4 linked regions of the Schizosaccharomyces pombe genome follow. Changing the gene in region 1 together with any one later gene gives a genetic interaction. Each region holds a gene or a part of one and is shown in the gene's direction. Other genes may lie near its edges.

What was found.
Region 2: of png2 (region 1) and alp13, changing one suppresses a phenotype caused by changing the other (phenotypic suppression), as found in Schizosaccharomyces pombe (2 studies listed by BioGRID, with this or other methods).
Region 3: mutations in png2 (region 1) and hos2 together harm fitness more than expected from each alone (negative genetic interaction), as found in Schizosaccharomyces pombe (3 studies listed by BioGRID, with this or other methods).
Region 4: mutations in png2 (region 1) and vph2 together harm fitness more than expected from each alone (negative genetic interaction), as found in Schizosaccharomyces pombe (2 studies listed by BioGRID).

The regions. Positions count from the first base shown.
Region 1 is NC_003423.3:1,119,337-1,124,278, reverse strand, and holds png2 (chromatin modification family protein Png2), read left to right. Parts: upstream 1-2,317; 5' UTR 2,318-2,329; coding exon 2,330-2,381; exon of another isoform or gene 2,382-2,421; coding exon 2,422-2,493; exon of another isoform or gene 2,494-2,540; coding exon 2,541-3,334; 3' UTR 3,335-3,618; intron 3,619-3,674; 3' UTR 3,675-3,697; downstream 3,698-4,942. Other genes in the region: GTPase-binding protein Rid1, read right to left, coding at 1-96, 146-678, 747-894, 1,033-1,451; Cu chaperone Atx1, read left to right, coding at 4,098-4,173, 4,297-4,427.
Region 2 is NC_003424.3:1,585,329-1,590,507, reverse strand, and holds alp13 (Clr6 histone deacetylase complex, chromodomain subunit Alp13/Eaf3), read left to right. Parts: upstream 1-1,930; 5' UTR 1,931-1,956; coding exon 1,957-2,885; intron 2,886-2,934; coding exon 2,935-3,019; 3' UTR 3,020-3,180; downstream 3,181-5,179. Other genes in the region: thi4 (bifunctional thiamine-phosphate dipyrophosphorylase/hydroxyethylthiazole kinase), read right to left, coding at 1-408; centromere localized protein Cnl2, read right to left, coding at 916-1,045, 1,117-1,553; SPOM_SPAC23H4.13C (uncharacterized protein), read right to left, coding at 3,181-3,564, 3,645-3,815; SPOM_SPAC23H4.21 (uncharacterized protein), read left to right, coding at 4,035-4,319, 4,412-4,495; guanyl-nucleotide exchange factor Vam6, read left to right, coding at 5,065-5,137.
Region 3 is NC_003424.3:3,167,222-3,172,709, forward strand, and holds hos2 (class 1 histone deacetylase Hos2), read left to right. Parts: upstream 1-2,449; 5' UTR 2,450-2,888; coding exon 2,889-4,193; 3' UTR 4,194-4,291; downstream 4,292-5,488. Other genes in the region: tif211 (translation initiation factor eIF2 alpha subunit), read left to right, coding at 1-323; png1 (chromatin modification-related protein), read right to left, coding at 970-1,821; phenylalanine--tRNA (Phe) ligase alpha subunit Frs2, read right to left, coding at 4,363-5,478.
Region 4 is NC_003421.2:66,443-71,172, forward strand, and holds vph2 (V-ATPase assembly protein), read left to right. Parts: upstream 1-1,809; 5' UTR 1,810-2,088; coding exon 2,089-2,511; intron 2,512-2,574; coding exon 2,575-2,793; 3' UTR 2,794-3,037; downstream 3,038-4,730. Other genes in the region: RNA-binding protein Rnc1, read right to left, coding at 1-243; SPOM_SPCC757.11C (transporter), read right to left, coding at 3,199-4,614. UniProt on the Schizosaccharomyces pombe protein: Required for vacuolar ATPase assembly.

The DNA.
Region 1 (4,942 bases):
GATCCAGTTTGCACAAGTTTGTATGGCCAATCATCAATTTTAGCAGCCACTATCCATTCACGAAGGGCTTCATGTAGCTTCTTATGGAATTTTTGACTAGATTTGTAAGTGCCTGCTTATATAAATATTGAAAAAAATTGCTTACCTGCTCTTTCGAAACCGTAACCCCATGATTCTTTCTAATCCACTTAGCTGGAGTTCCAAACGTTTTCTTTGACGTTTCTCTAAAGGTAAGCCTTCGAGTAATTCATTAATAAGATGGATGTGAGCTGCAACATAGCTGGTGGCTTCGGTTTCTATACCACCAATAAACCCCAATGGAGCCTCGTACACTTGATTATATTGTTTCTCCAAATCAATGACATTAGAATCGTGGTTCCACACCCAGAAGACATTACGGCTAACATCTTCAAGTTCGATAATCCAACGGCGAAAAGGTCGATCAACTCGAACGTTTTTTAAGAATTCAACCTCTTCATCCTTATCGTCTTTAATAGAAAACAAGGAAAAAACTTGCATTGCACCTTCTTCTTTGTCGAGATGAGCTTTGTAAAAGGAGTGAACTATTTGAACGAGTACTTCCCTTACGACAAAATCACATGGCTGTTTCTTTGAAAGCAAAAGGGAAATCAATCGCTCGACATTATAAGTGGATTGAGATAAACATTCCAATCCGCGCTAGGAAAAACGTTAGCAATTGTCAAAGGCAATGAAGACATAGGTCTAAATGTATATCACATGCATACCTGAACAGTGCACATGGCTTTAACGCAAAGTAAAAGTTGCTCCAGTATAGAATCGTGCAGTTCCTCTCTCCATTCAAGGCGAGAGATTTTGTCGATTGTACAAAATACTACACCGAAACCGCCGTTGTGTATAAACTTCTCTACCCATCTGTATTGCAGTTAGTATGAAAAACCTCAAAATAAACGAATGATTTATCATTCAATCAAAACAATAGTAGTGCCAAAAAAAAAGATAATTTAAGCATCACCACTTTGATTCACGTAGCTGCACAAAATGTAAACATACATTACTTGCTCGTTTCTGAGAAGTAGAGCTAATTTGTGTATGATAGATTCATCGATTGAGTCAATTTTTGTATTTACAATATACGAAATAAAGTCGTCAGGTTGCTCGTAACATGGTTTTTTACGCATCCAAGCAATTAATTTATTTCGCTTTTTCTGGTCTTTTTGCTGTAAACTGGACACGATTTCCATTTTAATTCCTTCATTAAGGGAAAGTAAACTCTTTGAGGCCTCTGAAGAAAGAACTTGAGGCTTGATTAAATCTTCAAAACATTGTGGCATTTCATCTTCAGAAGGGGTTGAAGGAGTCTGAAAGCTCAAGCTATCCTCTCGATCAGAAGAATTAACGCTTTCAGAGAGCCCATCAGAGCTCAAAGAGCGAGCACCTAAAAGCCGTTTTACTGAACGTAGAGAATTCATAATGTGTGTAAGGAATAGTCGTGTGGTATATTTACATAGAAATGGGAGGGCTGGTATATATTAAAATGGCACGCTGACGCGTCCGAGGAACAAGCCACAGGAACATGAAACGGACAATATCGGGAATTAATTCAATAATTAGGCTAATACGCGGAACGGTTGTTCCAATTTTTAATATGTACAATACTAAGCTATGGCCCTAGACTTAGGGAAGGAAAATAGCACATGAATGTTCGAAAAAAAAAAAGAGAAAGCTTCCGTTATTTAATAAACCATACTATTTACGCCTATCATTATTTTCATTAATAGCTATACATAGTAAATCCAACTTGCAAAATTTTGAGATTACGCGTGTTGAGTTAATGTTTGATATTGGTATATACACTATCGTATGTAAGTCAAATGAGAAGAATGGAAAAATAAGAATGTATTGAGCTTTAAGATATAGTAAATCTCGGTCTATTTTGGGTAAGAATTTTAATATGTACTTCTCAATTATCTGGAATTCACTGAAGGTTGTGAAAAGGAAAAATATTTCGGACATCCAAAATTTGCTATTATAATGAAGGTGCAACTAACTGAGTAGTAGAACCGATATCTAAAATAAATTGATTATTTGGAAATGTATGGTTAAACAAGAAGGCTCATATTACCTGAACTAACATAATGTCGTTAAAAATTACAGTTCAAAGCAGTGCTGAAATTATACTAGAATTCTGGTACATTAAAACGCGTCGCTTATAATAGAATCACTTCTTTCTATCAATAGATTAAACATACAATTTTGCTATTTCACGTAGGGATGTAGTAAAGTGAGAGAAGTAGGTGGGACATACATTTCCTACTCAGCACAACGTAACGTGCTTAGTGTCAATATCATGGGGACGAGTGGAATTGAAATATTTGCAGCTTTAAATGATTTCACAGATGGTAAGAGGCGAAAATAAACACATTGATTAACATTTTACAGCCATTGTTTCAGTCCCTGAATCAGTATGTGGAAAATTCACGAGTTTGAAAGAGATCGATGCACAAGTACGAGGTAAGTGAAATATATATTTTTAAAACGTGTGGTTAACAAAATCTTAGATATCCGTCAAAATGTCATACAGGAAATTGGTGTGGTTCTAAAAAACGAGAAAAATGACGAATTGTCAGGAGAAGAAAGATGTGAGCGATTACAAAAGACACTAAAAGAGATACTTCCATATTCTGATTCAAAGATTTGTTTGGCCACAGACGCAATGAATAATATCAAGAGTTGTATCGACCGTTTGGATGCTGGGTTTGAATATGTTGAATTGGAGATTCCCCAACAATTGAGATTGGGATATCCAGACGATCGAGCTTTAATGAATTATCATTCTACTGTGACTCCTCAAACTTCTGAAAGGAGACGGGAAACCCGTCGGCATCAAAATAACCAGCATTCCCAGCAATATTCCTCTCAGGAACGGTCGTCTTCATATAACAACTTTGAAGACGCTTCATCGCCGCAATCTTCTTATCACACCCCTACAAAGCGTCGAAAAAATGCTGTTCCTAGAAAATCATCATCACCTCCATTATCGAGTACAAAGCATGCGCCGCAATCTACGGAGAGGCGACCAGTGCGGAGATCAGAATCTCGTTTAAAACAGACAAATGGGGAACCACTTGTCAAACACGACACATTAGATTCAAGTGATATCAGCCGTGAAGGTGAGCAACTTTACTGTTACTGTCAACAAGTTTCCTATGGACAAATGATTGGATGTGATAACGAAAATTGTAAAAGAGAATGGTTCCATTTACCTTGCGTTGGTCTAGTAGAACCACCGAAGGGGATCTGGTATTGTAAAGAATGTGAAGAGTTAGCAAAATCATCTGAAAGTCGTCAATGAGCCGGGATCCTTTTTATTTTCTTTCACCTTCTTTTTATTGTTAATTTCTCAGTGTTTGACATCGTTATGAAACATCCATTACCACTGCTTGCATTGCTCTTGTTTACTGAATCAATTAAACTAACGACAACATTTCTATACCTCATAAAACCCTTATAACGATTTTTATGGTTTCGTTAAAGGATACAACCATCAGCTACGTATCTCGGTATACTATTTAATGATATGTAAAACTACGGTGTGTTTTGTTTGCAATCTACAAAAAGCGGATGCAATATGTATGAGTAAGTAATATTATAATTATTTTTATTAGAAATTTGTTAGTAACTAGTCATTGAAGTAAGGAAGCAATTTTAGGCGCAAACTTTATTAAATTTTTTCTTTGAATTTGTTTTGTTAGCTTACATACTTGTTAATAAATGGAAATTCCTTCATGCATGTTTCAAAAGCGAATTTAAATAGTATTCAAAGTAATGACAAATAGTGATACACAACATAGTGTATCATAGCTTAGTGCATTATTACTGACACACATCTATAGCAAATATATCTCTCTCGTTATTTTTTTAAGGATACCTCCTTGCATTACGTCTAAATGCTTTTACTAATGGATTTTCCAACTTATCGTTTCCCTCCTTCTCATCTAAAGTAATTCTTAAAATTGGGATTTTCTTGAATTTTAAATACTGTTTTTATTTGTGTTACAAAAAAGTTAATTAACAGTTTCTTGTCCAAATCTCGTTGAATTTTTGATCATCTGATAATGAAGTACCAATTTAACGTTGCTATGGCTTGTGATGGCTGCAAAAATGCCATCGATCGCGTTTTAACTCGTCTGGGTGCGTTTTAAAAAAAGTCATTTTTTAAGTATTTAGATTTACATTTATATAAGTATTTGTTATATATGGTTTTTCAGGAATTTTGTTGATGAATCTGTGTACTAATTAAGTAATGTCGAGTAGGTGTTGAAGACAAATCCATTTCGGTCGAAAAACAAGAGGTTATCGTTACCACAGACAAACCATATGAGCTCGTAGAACAAACGATTAAAAAAACTGGAAAGGAAGTTCGCAGCGGTAAAGTCCTAGAGTAGAGCATGGCAAAAATTACGACTTTAATCATATCTGATCGGTTCTCTCAAAAATATGCTCTTGACTTTTTTGTTGTCGCCTTATTGTTAAGATTTATATATACGACTAGACGAGGCTATTTGTTTTGTAGGATACAGCGTACTGCTTGAGCCTTTGGTGTTATTTTCCTCCAATAAATTGTGATAAACTTATAGACGTTTTCCGGTTCATTTCAATTGTCTTGGTAAGTTGAACCCCGCTTTACATGCCGTTTGTAATATTTATTGTGATCATTGTTTATTATCAGACTGCACTTTCAGTCATTTTGTTGCTATTTTTTGACTTAGGAGTTTTCACTTATTTTTTTTATTTTATTTTATACATTACATAGGCACCTCCAATTCAGGCAATAACTGTTTTCTCGGTAAATAATAGATTCACATTCATTTTAGCTACCTCTAATTGAGTTTACTCAACAATTTTGTTCGGTATATCGAAAACATAATGTAGTCGTGTTTATAAAATTACTATGAAATGA
Region 2 (5,179 bases), on another chromosome or scaffold:
CTCGTAAATAGAACCGATACCCACATAATCGGCCCCATCAGCAGCTGCTTTTTCAATTTCCTCGATATTATTAGTGGACACTCCAATAATAGCATCATCGCCAAGAATTTTTCTGGCTAATGCACAATCCATGTCGTCTTGACCAATATGAACACCGTCAGCGCCAACAGCTAATGCCACGTCAATCCTATCATTAATTAGAAAAGGCACGTCGTACTTTTTGCAAATTTCAGAAAGTCGTTTAGCACGTTCTACAAAGCATTTAGTAGAGATGTCTTTTTCTCTGTGCTGAACAAGCGTGACACCTCCCAAAATTCCCTCTTCCACCTGACGTTCTATAGTAGAACCTGGGGCAATTAAACTAGAGCTAGTTACAAGGTATAAAGAATAGTCAATTTGACGTTTCATGTTTGGTATAAAAGTTCTTATATAGAAGTCAAGTAAGTAAACAAAATCCTAGAAATGCCAGATTATGTTGCGGACACCAAAAATTTGACAGTTCAATCTTTCTATGCTAAGAAAAATGAAAATTGAATATTATCCTAATTTAATCAAGAATTTGGCGAAAGTGTTACAAACTATGTTTGCAAATTTTGCTCCATCTTTTATACTGTGTTAGTCATGGTTCGGATGCGTGCTACGACAAGTTAGTGATAACTGATTTTAATCACTCTATTAAAATGTAGTTTGTCAAATGGAACAAATACTGCATGCTTTTGAAGAAAATATATTCGCATTACTTTGAACAGGTTTTAATGAAATGAGTTTATAAAGGAACAGATATATCTTATTAAAAAGGTGCAGAATAACGTTATATTTAATTATTAAAAAGAAAAAAAAATTCATTCATTGTAATAAATACCCGTTAAAGCTATATTATTGAATAAATATGGAACAGCTTAACGTTTGAAGGTCCTAGTCTAATTCTTCTATTGCAGAAGGTGCTGCCTTTTCTAAACTTTCAATTAAAGATTCTACAAGATGAATTGACTCGTCAACGTTTGGCTCTTTTGACCATTGAAAATCGCTAAGGGATGCAATCTGACTAGAAAGAAATTATTAGCAAGCTAAATAAAGCTCAATTAAAACAACCCAAATTCCTAATCAACCTCATACCTATTCATTTTAAGAGTCAATTGTGTGCAGCGCTCTTTTTCCTCATTTAATTTTGTATAAGCAGATTGCACAGCTTCAGAAAGCCGCTCATTGATTTCACTTATGTCCAGCGGTTTTGCACTATGTGATGTGTAAAATTCTTCTACATCGTGCAATGTAGAGGCATGACTGACCGTTTGCAGTTTCTCAACATTTGTTGCCAACATCCTATCTATTCTGCTTTTGCCGATAACTTGACTCTCGAGATGGATGTTAGCTCTCAATTTTGCTAATCGCTTTTGTCTTTGTTGTGTACAGTATTCGTATAAACGCTCAATCAGTGGGTCTTCTCTGTATCTCTGAGGAAACAGTTGCCGCCATTGTTCTAAGCTTATAATAGACTGCAACCGCCCTTGAGAAAGAAGATAATCATTAAGTATTTGTTCCTCCATATTCATGAGCAACCTTTGAGATATTAGTAAATTGAATAAATGAAACGCAGCATTTGATGAAAACTCATGTAGAAAAGCTAATTTTTCCTAAAGTATCCTTTTGACTAAAGCATTTTTTATAATGCGTATTGGGACGTATTTGCTGAACATAATGAAAGTTTATTTTTAATTTATCATTAAAAATCCTAAAACAGTAACTTACTGATAGCACTTTCTCCAAGCATTTTGCAGATGAATGAATTTGTTGCTTAGATAGTATCCTGTTACACCCACCGTTTGTTAATGGGTCTAGATAATTTTTAAAACAAAATAGCTAACTCCTTCAAAGTAGGATAAATTTGCTAAGTGTACTGTTTTGGCACACGTCCTCTTACTTCTAACTCACCACCATACCTACAACGTTGTTGGAATGGCCGTGTCATATAAGGTGAATGAACGTGTACTATGCTTTCACGGCCCGTTACTCTATGAGGCTAAAATTGTTGATACTGAAATGAAAGGTGATGTTACCACGTACCTGATTCATTATAAAGGATGGAAAAACAGTTGGGATGAATGGGTTGAACAAGATAGGATACTACAATGGACAGAAGAAAATTTAAAGACTCAGAAAGAGTTAAAAAATGCCGCTATCTCTACGAGACAAAAACCGACTTCTAAAAAGTCCGCATCCAGCACTTCGAAACATGACTCAACTGGAGTTAAAACATCAGGAAAGAGGTCTCGAGAATCGAGCACCGTAACGGTTGATGGCGATTCACATGAATTGCCTTCACGTATAAAAACCCAAAAATCAGAGTCTCCAATTCCTCAACAAGTGAAACGCGATGGAACAACCGATGCTAAAAACGAGGAAACTACTAAGCCCGAGAATAACGAGAAAGACGATTTTGAGGAAGAGCCACCGCTTCCAAAACACAAGATTAGTGTCCCGGACGTTCTAAAGCTATGGCTTGTTGATGACTGGGAAAACATTACCAAAAATCAACAGTTAATAGCTATACCGCGGAATCCCACCGTCCGGGCTGCTATAGCGGCCTTCCGAGAATCCAAGATTTCTCATTTGAACAATGAAATAGACGTTGATGTTTTTGAACAAGCGATGGCTGGTTTGGTTATATACTTTAATAAGTGCTTGGGCAATATGCTGCTGTATCGGTTTGAACGGCAGCAATATTTAGAAATTCGGCAGCAATATCCTGATACTGAAATGTGTGATTTATATGGCGTCGAACATTTAATTCGCTTGTTTGTAAGCCTTCCTGAATTGATTGACCGGACTAATATGGATTCACAATCCATCGAGTGTTTGTTGAATTACATTGAAGAATTCTTGAAGTATGTTTACTGCTTTTAAACTCCCCTACTATACTAACCATTTATTTAGGTATCTCGTTCTACATAAAGATGAATATTTTATTAAAGAATATCAAAACGCCCCTCCAAACTATAGATCTTTGGTTGGTGTATAAAATTATGATCGTTTGCATCTATCCCAAAGATAACTAAAACGGTAATCTAAAATATATACGTTTTCTTTTTGAGATATAATACACTATTATCTATAGAATGCAGTAGGACCAACATAAGGCATTCAGAGAATTCATGCAATTATTATGTTGTTCCTTAATATTCAGATATTAATCATTTTGCTCTTCAAAGAGACAATTTGCTTCTGCAAATTGCCAATTGGAGTATCAAATTCTAAAGATCCAGAAATTTGACTTCCAAACTGATAAAGTTCTGCATTTACGACACCTTTCATTGCCTGGATGCTCAGGTCTAACGAACTTTCTGCCGGGATACACTGCTGCTCCTGTTCAGTTATATTGGCAACTCTTCTCAATTTTTCTTTAATACAACTCCATTTTTCTATTGTTTTTAAAATTTTTTTATCGTCAACCCGATGTTGTAATGTATCAGTCCGCTTATTGAATCCATCCATAAAATTGTAATAAAGCTTTATGAGTGCCCGTCTAAGGGCCAATGTGTATAACCATTGAGGACGTATGTAATACTAGAATTTGGTGAGTTGGACGTAAATAAGAACCAGTAAATATAAAAACTAACCACAACTTGCTAAGAATGTGTACTTACTTTTGTAATAACGAAAGTCGAGAGACCACTGATAGAAAAAGTATATAATATGTAAATTAAGAAGGACAATAAGCTGGACGAAACTTGTATATTATCTGGAAAAGCTTTAACAGGCGGATTTTCTTTAGGAAGCAAAGGACTTTTGCTTTGAACAGCACTGTTCGAACTCATTTTTAGAATGATCGAAAATTTTGCACTAGTGAAAATATGGATATCAAACCAGTTGAAGAAGAAAATGATAAGCGTAAAAAAGATGGTTAAGCATATAGTGTTGCGGAATAAGTAGTTTGATTGTTCGAAATTAATACGAAGCAGTAAAAAGCAACTTTGCAAAATTAACAGAACAAATGAAATGAATAAGTTTGTTATATCTAACGGATTGTTATTAAAATGTATCAAGTTTCCAATCTCGATTTAAAATGTGGCGTGCACAACGGTGAATTGTTGACGGTCCTTTTACCCAATATAATGGATTCTGGTAATGCGACAGAATTAGGAATTGGAGTAGAAGAGTGGCATAAACGGCGCTCTTCATGGCTTTTAGGGAAAAAATCTACCGAAGAAACTGATTCATCGAATGAAGTTGTAGTTCCTGAAAATGTATATCTCAATGTTTATGAAGCACTAGTCTATCGAAGGCAAAAGTTGAAGCGTCCGGTCAAATTAAGCATTGTAGTAAGTTGAGTCGGTTATTATTTTTTTCCTTTTTTAAAATTCTATCTTTGTTTGCGTTTTTTTGCTACTTTACTAAAACTTTTTTTCACCAGATTGCTGTTCTTAAAGCCGGTTGGATTCGAGATGGATTTTGGCCAGCTCCCAGCAATAGCAATGGAGTTTCTGTACCTCCTTGAAAAGTCATTATTAATGACCTTATTTCTGTTGCTACTTGGAAAGCAAAAAATTTCTTATATCCCTGTTTATTGTTTAAAACTTTGGTGTAATTATTGGTAACAATTGGATATCGAGCATAAAGTATTGAGATATATCCTAATTGAATAAATAATAAATGGTTTTCAATGACATTATTATTAACTGGAACTAACATTAGCAAACTTTTTACCCGGGAAATAAACAAGAGTAGAGAAAGCAACTATTTAACTAATAATATAAAGCAAAATCTTCTCATATTATTTATATTATAGAGTTGAGCAATCCAGTTTATTAAGAAAGTTATTTCTTTACTATTTAACTCTCCTATATGCTACAATCAAGAGCTGTTTAAGGTAGCAATTGCTAATGTATTAAATATTTTTATGACATTCAACGAGCTCTTGAGTTAGCGAATGTCATACTAAACCAGACCTTGTTCTTGAACATATTCTCCTTTGTTTTTCAGTTATATTTCTCTTAATCAATTTTTTTCTGGACCAAATTTACGTTTTAGCACAAAGTTATTTTGTCTGATGCTTATTGAAGGGTAATGCATAGAGCATTTTCATTATACCGTGTTTTAGAGCTATCAAAAGCTCGGGTTGAATGCGTTTTTGAGTTAGGTATGATTTATTTTACTTTTGGACCTTAATGCTAATGGATAA
Region 3 (5,488 bases), on another chromosome or scaffold:
ACGCTATCAAGGCCGCTTTGAAGGCTGCTGAAGATGTTCATACCGAGGAGGTTCCTATCAAAGTTAAACTTGTTGCTCCTCCACTTTACGTCCTTTTGACAAACGCATTAGATAAGTCATTGGGTCTCAAAAAGCTAGAAGAGGCAATTGGTGCAATCGAAAAATCCATTACAGCATCCAATGGTACCTGTACTGTTAAAATGAAACCCAAGGCGGTTAGTGAAACTGACGAATTGGAGCTTGCCGATTTGATGAAAAAATTTGAAAAGGAAAATGCTGAAATCTCTGGTGATGAAGAGGATGACCAAAGCGGTTCTGAGTAAATGGATTAGACACTAGCTAATATACGCTTTTTCATTGTGAATTTTTGGCACTTTAGTGTTCCATTATAATCTGGGGTTCTTTTTATTTTGTACTATACACTTTATCAAATTTATCTAGTGATATCTATGGTTAAAAAATTTCCTCTTCTTTTTTCCGAATGCGTAAGAGTTCTTTTATATGTTACGAGATAATATGAAAACGCTAGACGCTGCATCTTGTTCCTTTGTATGTACAATAATAAGTTCAGTTCCAATATAGTAGAAATAATGGACAACAAATGCAATTACAAATAATAAAGTTACAAAAGACTTATTACTGTGGTTAGCTACGGCGTGTAATATCTGCTTTGGGGAGGATTGGGGAAATTAAAGAACTGAATTTCTTAATGTACAAGTAATCTGGTACTTATTATGTGAGTGAAAAACAAACAAGGACAAGAATAAGATAAAAAGGATTCGTAATCGTGAAGATATGATTAATAAATTAACCATTTTGCAAATCACATATACACAGCTTGAACAACGTATAATCAAATATAGTAAGTTCGGAACAGGTGAAAAATTAGCGGATATTAAAGCCCAAAAAAAAACAACAATGCTTGCATTCAATAATGGGAAGACCAACAGACTTTAGATTGGGGAAAAATTACTTAGCATCAACAAGCTTCTGATCCCTACAAGCTTCGCAATACCATGTACCTTCAGGAGGAGCTTTAAGACCAACACACTCCATATGGAACCATTCACGCTCACAATTAGCATTGTCACAAGCGACCATTTGCCCATATGATCCTTGCTGGCAAAAACAATACTTTTCATTATCCTCTTCCATATCTTCTTCTGAGACCATTTCATTCGGCGTTGTGGAATCTGCCTTAGTTTCTAACTGGGTGGTTGCAGTGGCATTCGAAACCTTCTGACCGCGAGTTGAACCAGAATCTGCCAACGAAGCCGTATAAGGAGAGTGATAGACTCCATTTTGAATTGCACCCCTGGTAGTTGCTGAAGTACGACGGCGACCAGCTGTTGAGGCTCCCGACCGAGAAGGGGCCGGTGTTTGACGAGCACTTGAGGCACCACTTGGACTGTATCCACCATACGGTGAAGAAGCATAGTAGTCAGGAGCATTTAACAATTCCGCAGCTGTAAATCCATGACCGGCCTTTGCAAGTCTATCATCCAATCGCTTTATGTGCCGTGTAAGTCCCAATCTGGCACGATCCGCCAACTGGACTTTCTCGTTCTGTATATTAATTGCCTTTTGATACTCCTCGCGAATCGTCGAATACAAAGCATCTTCTTTTGGATGTGGGGTCAAGGAACCATGTGATTTAATGTATGACTGAATCTGAGAATCAGCTGCTTGAATTCTCTTCCAGATGTCATGTACAGCAACTTCCTTCACACTAATTTCGTCAAAGATGTGTTTTGTTTCGTTGGGAACATTATCCAACGTTTGCAAATACTCACTTAGTATGTAAGCTGTATCATCTGCCATTATTCTCAAATTGAAAATTATAGATACGTTCTAATTTCCGCTTTATGCAAAAATTATTATTATGATTTCAAATTCCAAAAGAAAGGGAGATTTGAGTCTTTTAAAGAGATAGGGAAAGTTGATATTCCACTAATATTTTCGATACTTCAATAACTAATGAATAAAAGATACTATGACTTTATCTTTTAAAGTAGAGGAATGTGACAATAAATGTACAAACGAGAAGGACAAAGACACTAATTGAAATAATATATATGAACCTATGGCTCGTTTTTGTGTCGTTTAAAGATTATTTTTACACTCTCTTAAGCTGCTGAAAATTTTTCCGGTTGTTTATAGTAGCCCACATTTGGTGTTGAGTTCCGCCACTCCATATAATGTAAACACAGTACTGGAAGGCAAAGAGGGCGAAATAAAAACATAAGAATTCACGCAAACCAAATCACTTTGAAGATAAATCTTTTCAACGTATGTATGATATCTAAGTTGCCAAATTGTCTATGAATTCACATGCTAAAGGTTACCATCTGTTTAAGTAATAACGATACGTTATTAATGTGTTAGTTCATATATGGAAGCATAACATACTAAACTACACCTAAGTTGGTAGCTTCCTTCTGTGTTCACTGAGATATACATTTTTAAGTTATAAGAATGAACCAGCACTAGCAATTCTTCAAAAAATTGTAAATCCTATTTGTTCTTGTGTTTATGGGCTTCAAAGAGTTTGAATTAACGCTTTGTTGAAGTTGTACATTTTATCTAATAAGGTATCGGGTTTAGCGACCTTTTGCTACGTATTCTGCGCTCGACGTAAAAATAAAGTATTTACAGTTCGTGTTGCTGTTTATTATTTGGATTGAATTCTTTTCTATAAAAAAATCTGGGTTGTTTTTCGATTTATATTAATTTGGCATTGGTCAATAACTTTCATTTCTCTTGTTTCTTCTGAAACAGTTATTAATTTGTTTCTTAATTTTATTTATTCTTTTCTTGTTCTTTCTTTAGAAAAGATATTTTCATTTAATTTGTCTCGCGGTTTTTTTTAGTATAATAGTCTGTATATCATGGATACTCCTGAGACATCCACACCTTATGAACAAGTTGAAAAGGGGTCTTTTTTTAGCTTTCGACCTCAAAAAAAGCGTGTCACATATCACTTAGATGAACAGGTGGGAAACTACCACTATGGTGACAAACATCCAATGAAGCCCCATCGAATTACCATTACAAATCATTTAGTGATGGGTTATGGGTTGCATAACAAAATGAGTGTATTCAGCCCCCGGATGGCAACTTTTGGTGAAATGTCAGAATTTCATAGGGAGGATTATTTGGATTTCCTTAAGCGCGTTACTCCTGATAATGCTGAACAATTTGCTGATAAGTTCCAACAATTCAATATTGGTGATGACTGTCCGGTCTTTGACGGCACTTATGAATTTTCTCAAAGGTCGGCAGGCGCTAGTTTGGATGCTTCTCGGAAGTTAGTGCAAGGTCAAACAGACATTGCTATCAATTGGAGCGGTGGTCTCCATCATGCAAAGCGTGGTGAGGCTAGTGGATTCTGCTATGTTAATGATATTGTTCTAGCAATTTTGAACATGCTACGGTTTTTTCCTCGCGTTTTGTATATCGATATCGATATTCATCATGGAGATGGTGTGCAGCAAGCATTCTATGAATCTGACCGCGTGTTGACGGTTTCTTTTCACAAGTATAATGGTGATTTTTTTCCTGCAACTGGTAATTTTGATGAAAATGGCGTGAAAGGAGGGAAATATTTTGCTTTAAACGTTCCTTTGGAAGATGGTATTGGTGATGAACAGTACACTAGTCTTTTCAAATCCATAATTGAACCAACTATCAATACTTTTCAACCTTCTGCAATTGTCCTTCAGTGTGGTGCTGATTCGCTTGGTTATGATCGGCTCGGCGTGTTCAATCTGAGCATCCATGCACATGGGGAATGTGTTAGATTTACCCGTTCATTCAATATACCCATGCTTGTAGTTGGAGGTGGTGGTTATACTCTTAGAAATGTTGCTAGAGCGTGGTGTTATGAAACTTCCATATGTGTAAACGAACAAATACCTTCAGAATTACCTCGTGAAACTTTGTATTACGAATTTTTCGCACCAGATTACACCCTCCATCCGCGATTAACCACGAAGATAGAAAATAAAAATACACCGAAAGCTCTTGAAGATCTTCGAATACGGGCCTTGGAGCAATTACGTTACTTAGGAGGAGCGCCAAGCGTTCAGATGCAGCAAATTCCACCAGACTTAACTGGGCATTTGGAAGAAGAAGACGAACGGTTGAATGATGAATACTTAGACAAAGCTGTGGATGTTCGCGTTCGAGGCTGATATTAATGAATTTTCGACTTTTTATTTGATATCCGTACAAACATCAAATAATTTTAGTTAATGTTTATAGACATTGTAAATATTAATAATTGACCCTATACGAAAATACGTTTACCATAGTGATTATGTATTATTTTTATAAACGATTATGCAAAAAAAAACACTAAATTTATTCCTCTTTGTCTAAACGAACTGCAGGGCTAGCCTCAATTAGGTCCAAGTTAACCTTAGGACCAATCAATTGTCTAATGTCGGCCACACCATATTTGATCATAGTGGGGCGCTCTAAAGAAAGACCAAAACCTAAACAACGAACATCTTTAGGTAATCCCATAGGCTCTAACATCTCCGGACGGAACATGCCGCTGTTTCCGACTTCAACCCACTTACCAAGCTTTTCGTGGTAGGAAAAGACTTCCAATGAAGGTTCAGTATAAGGATTATAAGCAGGTTTGAAGCGCAAATTTTTAACGTTCATTTTTCCAAAGAACACCTCAAGGAAACCGATCAAATCACCGAGGGTAATATTTCTATCGCAGATTACGCCTTCGACTTGATGAAATTCGGCAAGATGAGTTGCGTCAACGGTTTCATTGCGGAAGACCCGATCAATTGAGAAGTATTTAGCAGGGTGAAAGCCATTTTGGGCAAGTTTGTACAACATATTCGCCGAGACAGCAGTAGTATGAGTACGAAGAACTAGTTTACGAGTTTCCTCCAAGGAAAAGGGAGCACGGTATCCAATGCCCTTAGTCTCACCACCGTTTTCGTGAGTGGCCTTTACTCGAGCAACATATTCGGGATCTGGCAATTTATCAGTAGAAGCAGGAACTTTCAAAAAGAAAGTATCTTGAGCATCCCTTGCTGAATGTTGTTGGGGGACAAATAAAGCATCAAAGTTCCAAAATCCACTTTCAACAAAATTGTTGGTTGGCATTTCTTCAAAACCCAATTCGAAGAAAAATTTACGGAATTCTTCACGTACTTTCATCAAAGGATGAAGACATCCACCAGCTGGAGGTATACCTTCAGCTGCAAAGTTGTAAGATTTAAACTTGGCACTTTCCCATGATCGAGAGGTGATCATCTCAGCAGTTAAATCGGTGTTCAGTTTTTCAATTTGAAGCGAGAAATTTGGACCTTTCCTCAAAGAGAAGTACATAATTTTGTTACGTTCAACAAGCTTTCTCTTCTTCAAATCAGTTAACGTCTTACTGTCAGAGATAGTTCCATGTTCCTTAATTTCACTAAGGACCTTAGGGGTCTCATCTGTAATGGAATCAGTCTGGTCAGTT
Region 4 (4,730 bases), on another chromosome or scaffold:
CTTGGCAGAGATGGGAGGCACTTGAGACGTTGGTTCGGGTTGGTTGGTCATGGACTGTTGAATAGTAGAACCGTTAGTAAGAGTCGATAGAGGTGTAGAGGGCTTTGGAGTAGGTATGGAAACTTTAGCAATGCCAGTAGCAGTAGAAGTGGTTTCGTCGGGTTCGTCTTGAAACGTTACGTCAAAAAAAGAGTTCTCTTTTTCCTCGATGTTTTTAGGAATGCTGAAGTGATTGTAAGCCATAGATGTCACTGGAATAGTATTGGTTAATTGAATAGGACACATATGCGTTTCTAGGAGGAGAGTAGAACCTTTTCTAAATTACTTCCTGAAAACTGATTAGTTCAAACCTGCAGGGATTTAGCGGAGATTAAAAAAAAAAAGGAAAACGGATTAGGCTCCTTCTAAGCTCTTATTGCAGTTTCTTATAAATTGAAATTGCAATCAATAGCTGTGATTACTTCGACAAAAATGAAGTAAACGACCAAGGAGAACGGAGTAGTGGTAAACGGGGTGTAGCAGTGACAAAGAGAAAATTTTCTGCAAGTAAGTCTTTTGGTGGGGAAATAACGAAGTTTGAAGAACGTATAGTAAAGTCGCACAATTTACTGATAGGAAGTGGTAGCGTAGCTTTACGCCTCAGTCGTTATATCTTTGGAAGTGAAAATGATGAGATTAATAAATGAGAAGAGCATTACAAGAATGGGTTTTTTAAATAATCGTAAATTTCCTAGCTAAAGCTAACGAATGCTGCCAAGTGAAATATCATTCTTTTAGTCAATATAGCAGGTATTAACGTAGTTGTTTTCGTTGGCCTTTGCTTCGGTATATAGGATAGCGTGGTTCAAGCGACTTTGTAAGATCAGATGAAAGATAAAGGGCAAAAACCTAAATAGCGTCCATGCATCAGTGGAACTTTCTTTCTTCAGATTACGTTATATGGTATAGTGAGCTTTGAAAATCGTTGAAAAAATTCGAATTTAATGGTGCAGAGGCAAAGACGATATGGACGTTCGGAAAAATGAAAACTATACTGGAGGAAGTTATCTTTATTTGATTCTGTCTTCGTAATTAAGCTTCCTTCAGCTTCGAACTTTTCATTTCCTAATTCGAATACCTATTTGTTCACCCGTACCTCTTTAGGTTTATATTTGTTCTTGCAAACTGTTCTGCGGCGATATGAATTTTGCTACCCCAAAGTTTACGTAAGCCAAGTTTGTCGTAAATAAATTCGCAAAAAAAAGTACTTTGGATGGTGCAACATGGAAGAATTGAACGCCGTTGAAACGCTGGTATTTTTGAACATGAAGTATCTCAGTATTCAACCCAAAGTCATAAAAATTCTTGAACCTTTAGCTTTCCAAGCGCTGAATGAGCATACTGGGACACATTTTGAAACCATAGACGCAAGTAATAATTGCGTAAGTTATATAAAACTCATAGAGCCAACAAAGCTAGTAGCATTTACTTCTTAATATTATATTGAAATTCCAATAAATAATCTTTGAATATCGTTTGTATGAAATACCCGAGAGCAATTGCGGCGCTAAATTAAACTGAATGTTCAGTTACCAAGATTTATGTCACTTCATAGAAAGATATAATATCACAGTAGCGTGTACCATTCTTCTATACCTCACTGAACGAGGAAGTCTACAATTCTGCTTGGCCTAGCACAGTGTTAGCGAGGGTGAAGAATAAAATTATGATGCTAATTACCAAAACGGTGATTTCAAAAAAAGTTGAGGAACTTTCATATTTTCATTTTTTGCCTCTTATAGGACGCTATGTATTACGTTGCGTAACTTTGACTTTTGCAAATACTTGGATGTACCACTGTCTCCATGTTTGTTTGTTGGTCAATATAAAACGTAGTATTAGACATTAAAATATTGGTTTAATTATTTCATTTAGAAAACTCAATAGAAATTTAGCAAATATCGTCAACCAACCTAGATTGATCCTGTTTCACGCAATTCGGACTATATGAATCGTTTTTGATTGCTTTCTAGACTTCATAGCATTATTACTTACCCTTCTACTTTTTTAATACCTTCGAAATTGTCAAATTGACTCATTATTGCAAAAATGCTGTACAGGCTCTCCGAAAAACAGCAGACAGACTTACGGTGTAATAAATTAACTGTCGATGGATTTGAGCTGGTAAAAATGTTAAAGGAATTACGATTACATAACAGGAATATCAATTTTTTGGAATTTCTTCGAGGTGTACAGATTGTGCCGAGCGACAGTGTCTTCTTGGGCGAAATTGATGAAAACAGCCATACTCAAGACAATACAACTACTTCTATCTTAAAGGAGAAAGAGCTATATGATGGTATTCCTCTGCTTCCATCAATGGCAGGCGTATCCATGGACCCTGAGAGAGAAAAAAAATCAGAGTTACGACTAATGAAAAACCAAATCAGCGCTATAATCAATATACTCTTCACAGTAGTAGGAACGGTGACCGCTGTTTGGTACTGCACTTCATCTTTATCTATTGAAAAGGTATGAATTAAAAACTTTCGTTTTGTTCCTGGGAGACCTTTGTATTGACTTAATATTATTTAGAAAATTGCGCTATGTGCGTTTTCAGCAATCTTGGTTCTAGTAGCAGATACGTTTCTTTATGTCCGCTATCTATCTGCACAACCCGTACGAACTTCAAAGAATCATACTCGACAAATAATATATACATGGACAACAAATGACCCTGTTCTACAGTCAAATGAGCAGCTAGCTATAGAACTGGGAGCCATTCCATCTTTGAAGGAAAAAAAGAACCAATAATTATATTCTTAATTTTTAGATGTTTTATTAACGAAAGTACCTTTGATGTTTTCCTGTAGATGATTTTTATAGGTTGTTTGTCTAATTGATCATAATGGCATACCTCTCTATGTGTTAATTGAAGGGCAGGCACCTATGGGCACACTATAGATAAAAAATAAAAAGTATTTAAGATAAAAAATTCGAACTCATTTGGCTTTTAACGTATATTTCATCAATTAATTTCATTATAATTAAAGATTTAGCAACATTATTTCAATTTAATTAGCCATTTGGTATTAGATTTATTTGTAAGGAACACAACTTACAAATTTATAAATAAACAACAAATCAACCCCCCCTTGTAAAAAAATTAAAAAAAAAAAAAAAAATAGAGAGCAACCTAACCATTGAGTTACCAGTGAATTATGCAAGGCGCAACTTGACCTTAAGTTTCTTCCATATAATCAATAGTGCAAGCACAGACATAACGTTTAATATTAAGCATACCGCAAAAAAAACAACAGGTGAGAACGAGCGAAATGCACCGCCAAAGATAGCACCAACTGTGTCGGATAAGGAAATTGATATTTGCACAGCGACGTTACCTATCAGGTGGTACTTAGGATGTAAAACCTTTGTCAATAAAGAGACCGAAGGGGAATTAGCAATAGAAGATCCAAAAAAAACAAGGGTGTAAATAATAAAGTAAGGTTGTACGAATTCCTTGCCTGTATAGTGAATAGTTATATGAATAACCATGCATACGATGTTTAAACAACAACCCAACAATATGATATCTCTGTCAGTCAAGTAACGCGTCAAATAGGAAAATATTAAAAGCAAGGGTACGTTGATAATTCCAGCCAAAGAAAGGAAGTTACCTGCTTGGAAGGATGAATAATTATAAAGCATAGAAGTGTAAATTGGAACAGATGCTTGGTATGCATTTAATAGAAAGTAAGCAGAGAAGCCAGAGAAAGCGACAACGAAAATAACAAGACACCCCACAAATCCTAGTTTTGAATTGGTATCCTGTTTGACATCATTAATGACATGCTTCTCTTCGACTACTTCTTCCTTTACGTCCGTTTGCGGGCTCAAAACCTCCCGGAAACAAGCAAAGCCAAACAAAAACAAGCCTACCCAAATGAAAGCCATTAGCCAGTTACCCGAAGTATATTCATTCCAGATATCGCTTTGAGACTTCATTGAAGACTTGGCCATTAATCCTCCGATGAATGGACCAGCTGTCAAACCAAGCGTTGCCATGACTGAGTTGACCACACCCATCGACGTTCTATATTTGATGCTGATCAAGGCTTTATCTGTGAAATAGCGCTTGTGGTATAAAAACATGGTACACGCAACACCCGTAAAAATACGACTCACAAGAATCAAGGCCACACTTTTGGCTTTATCTGCGAGTGCATACATGATATGACCAATAATGCAGCTTATACACGACATTGTATATGGTCTTCTATAAATCGTATATCCCTTGGCAGCTTTCGGAGTCGAGAATCTCAACATGGGATACAGCAACACAAGGGCAGTGATTGTGGGCAATCCGATAATTACACCGGACAAACCATTTCCTCCCCCCAGATGTTGGACAAATCTCTCGGACGTAGGAACGACAATGGTGAATGAAATGCAAAGAATTGTGTTATTTAACAGCATCAAAGCCGCACTGATGAACGGTGGTTTATGCGTAGCAGCCGGTGAGGCAGAAGGGTCATTGGAAACTAATCTTACAGATTGCTTGTATCCCGACTTTTCCTTTTCATCAAGAAAGGATGAGACCGAGAGGTCTTTTTCTAAATTACTTTGTTGCTCCATAATATAGACTCAATGGATCCATTCAAAAACCTGCTCTACTACGAAAACTGGCCTGTGGAATAAGGTATAGAAGGAACGAGAAAACAAAGAGAAATTCTTTGTTGTTTTCAAATATT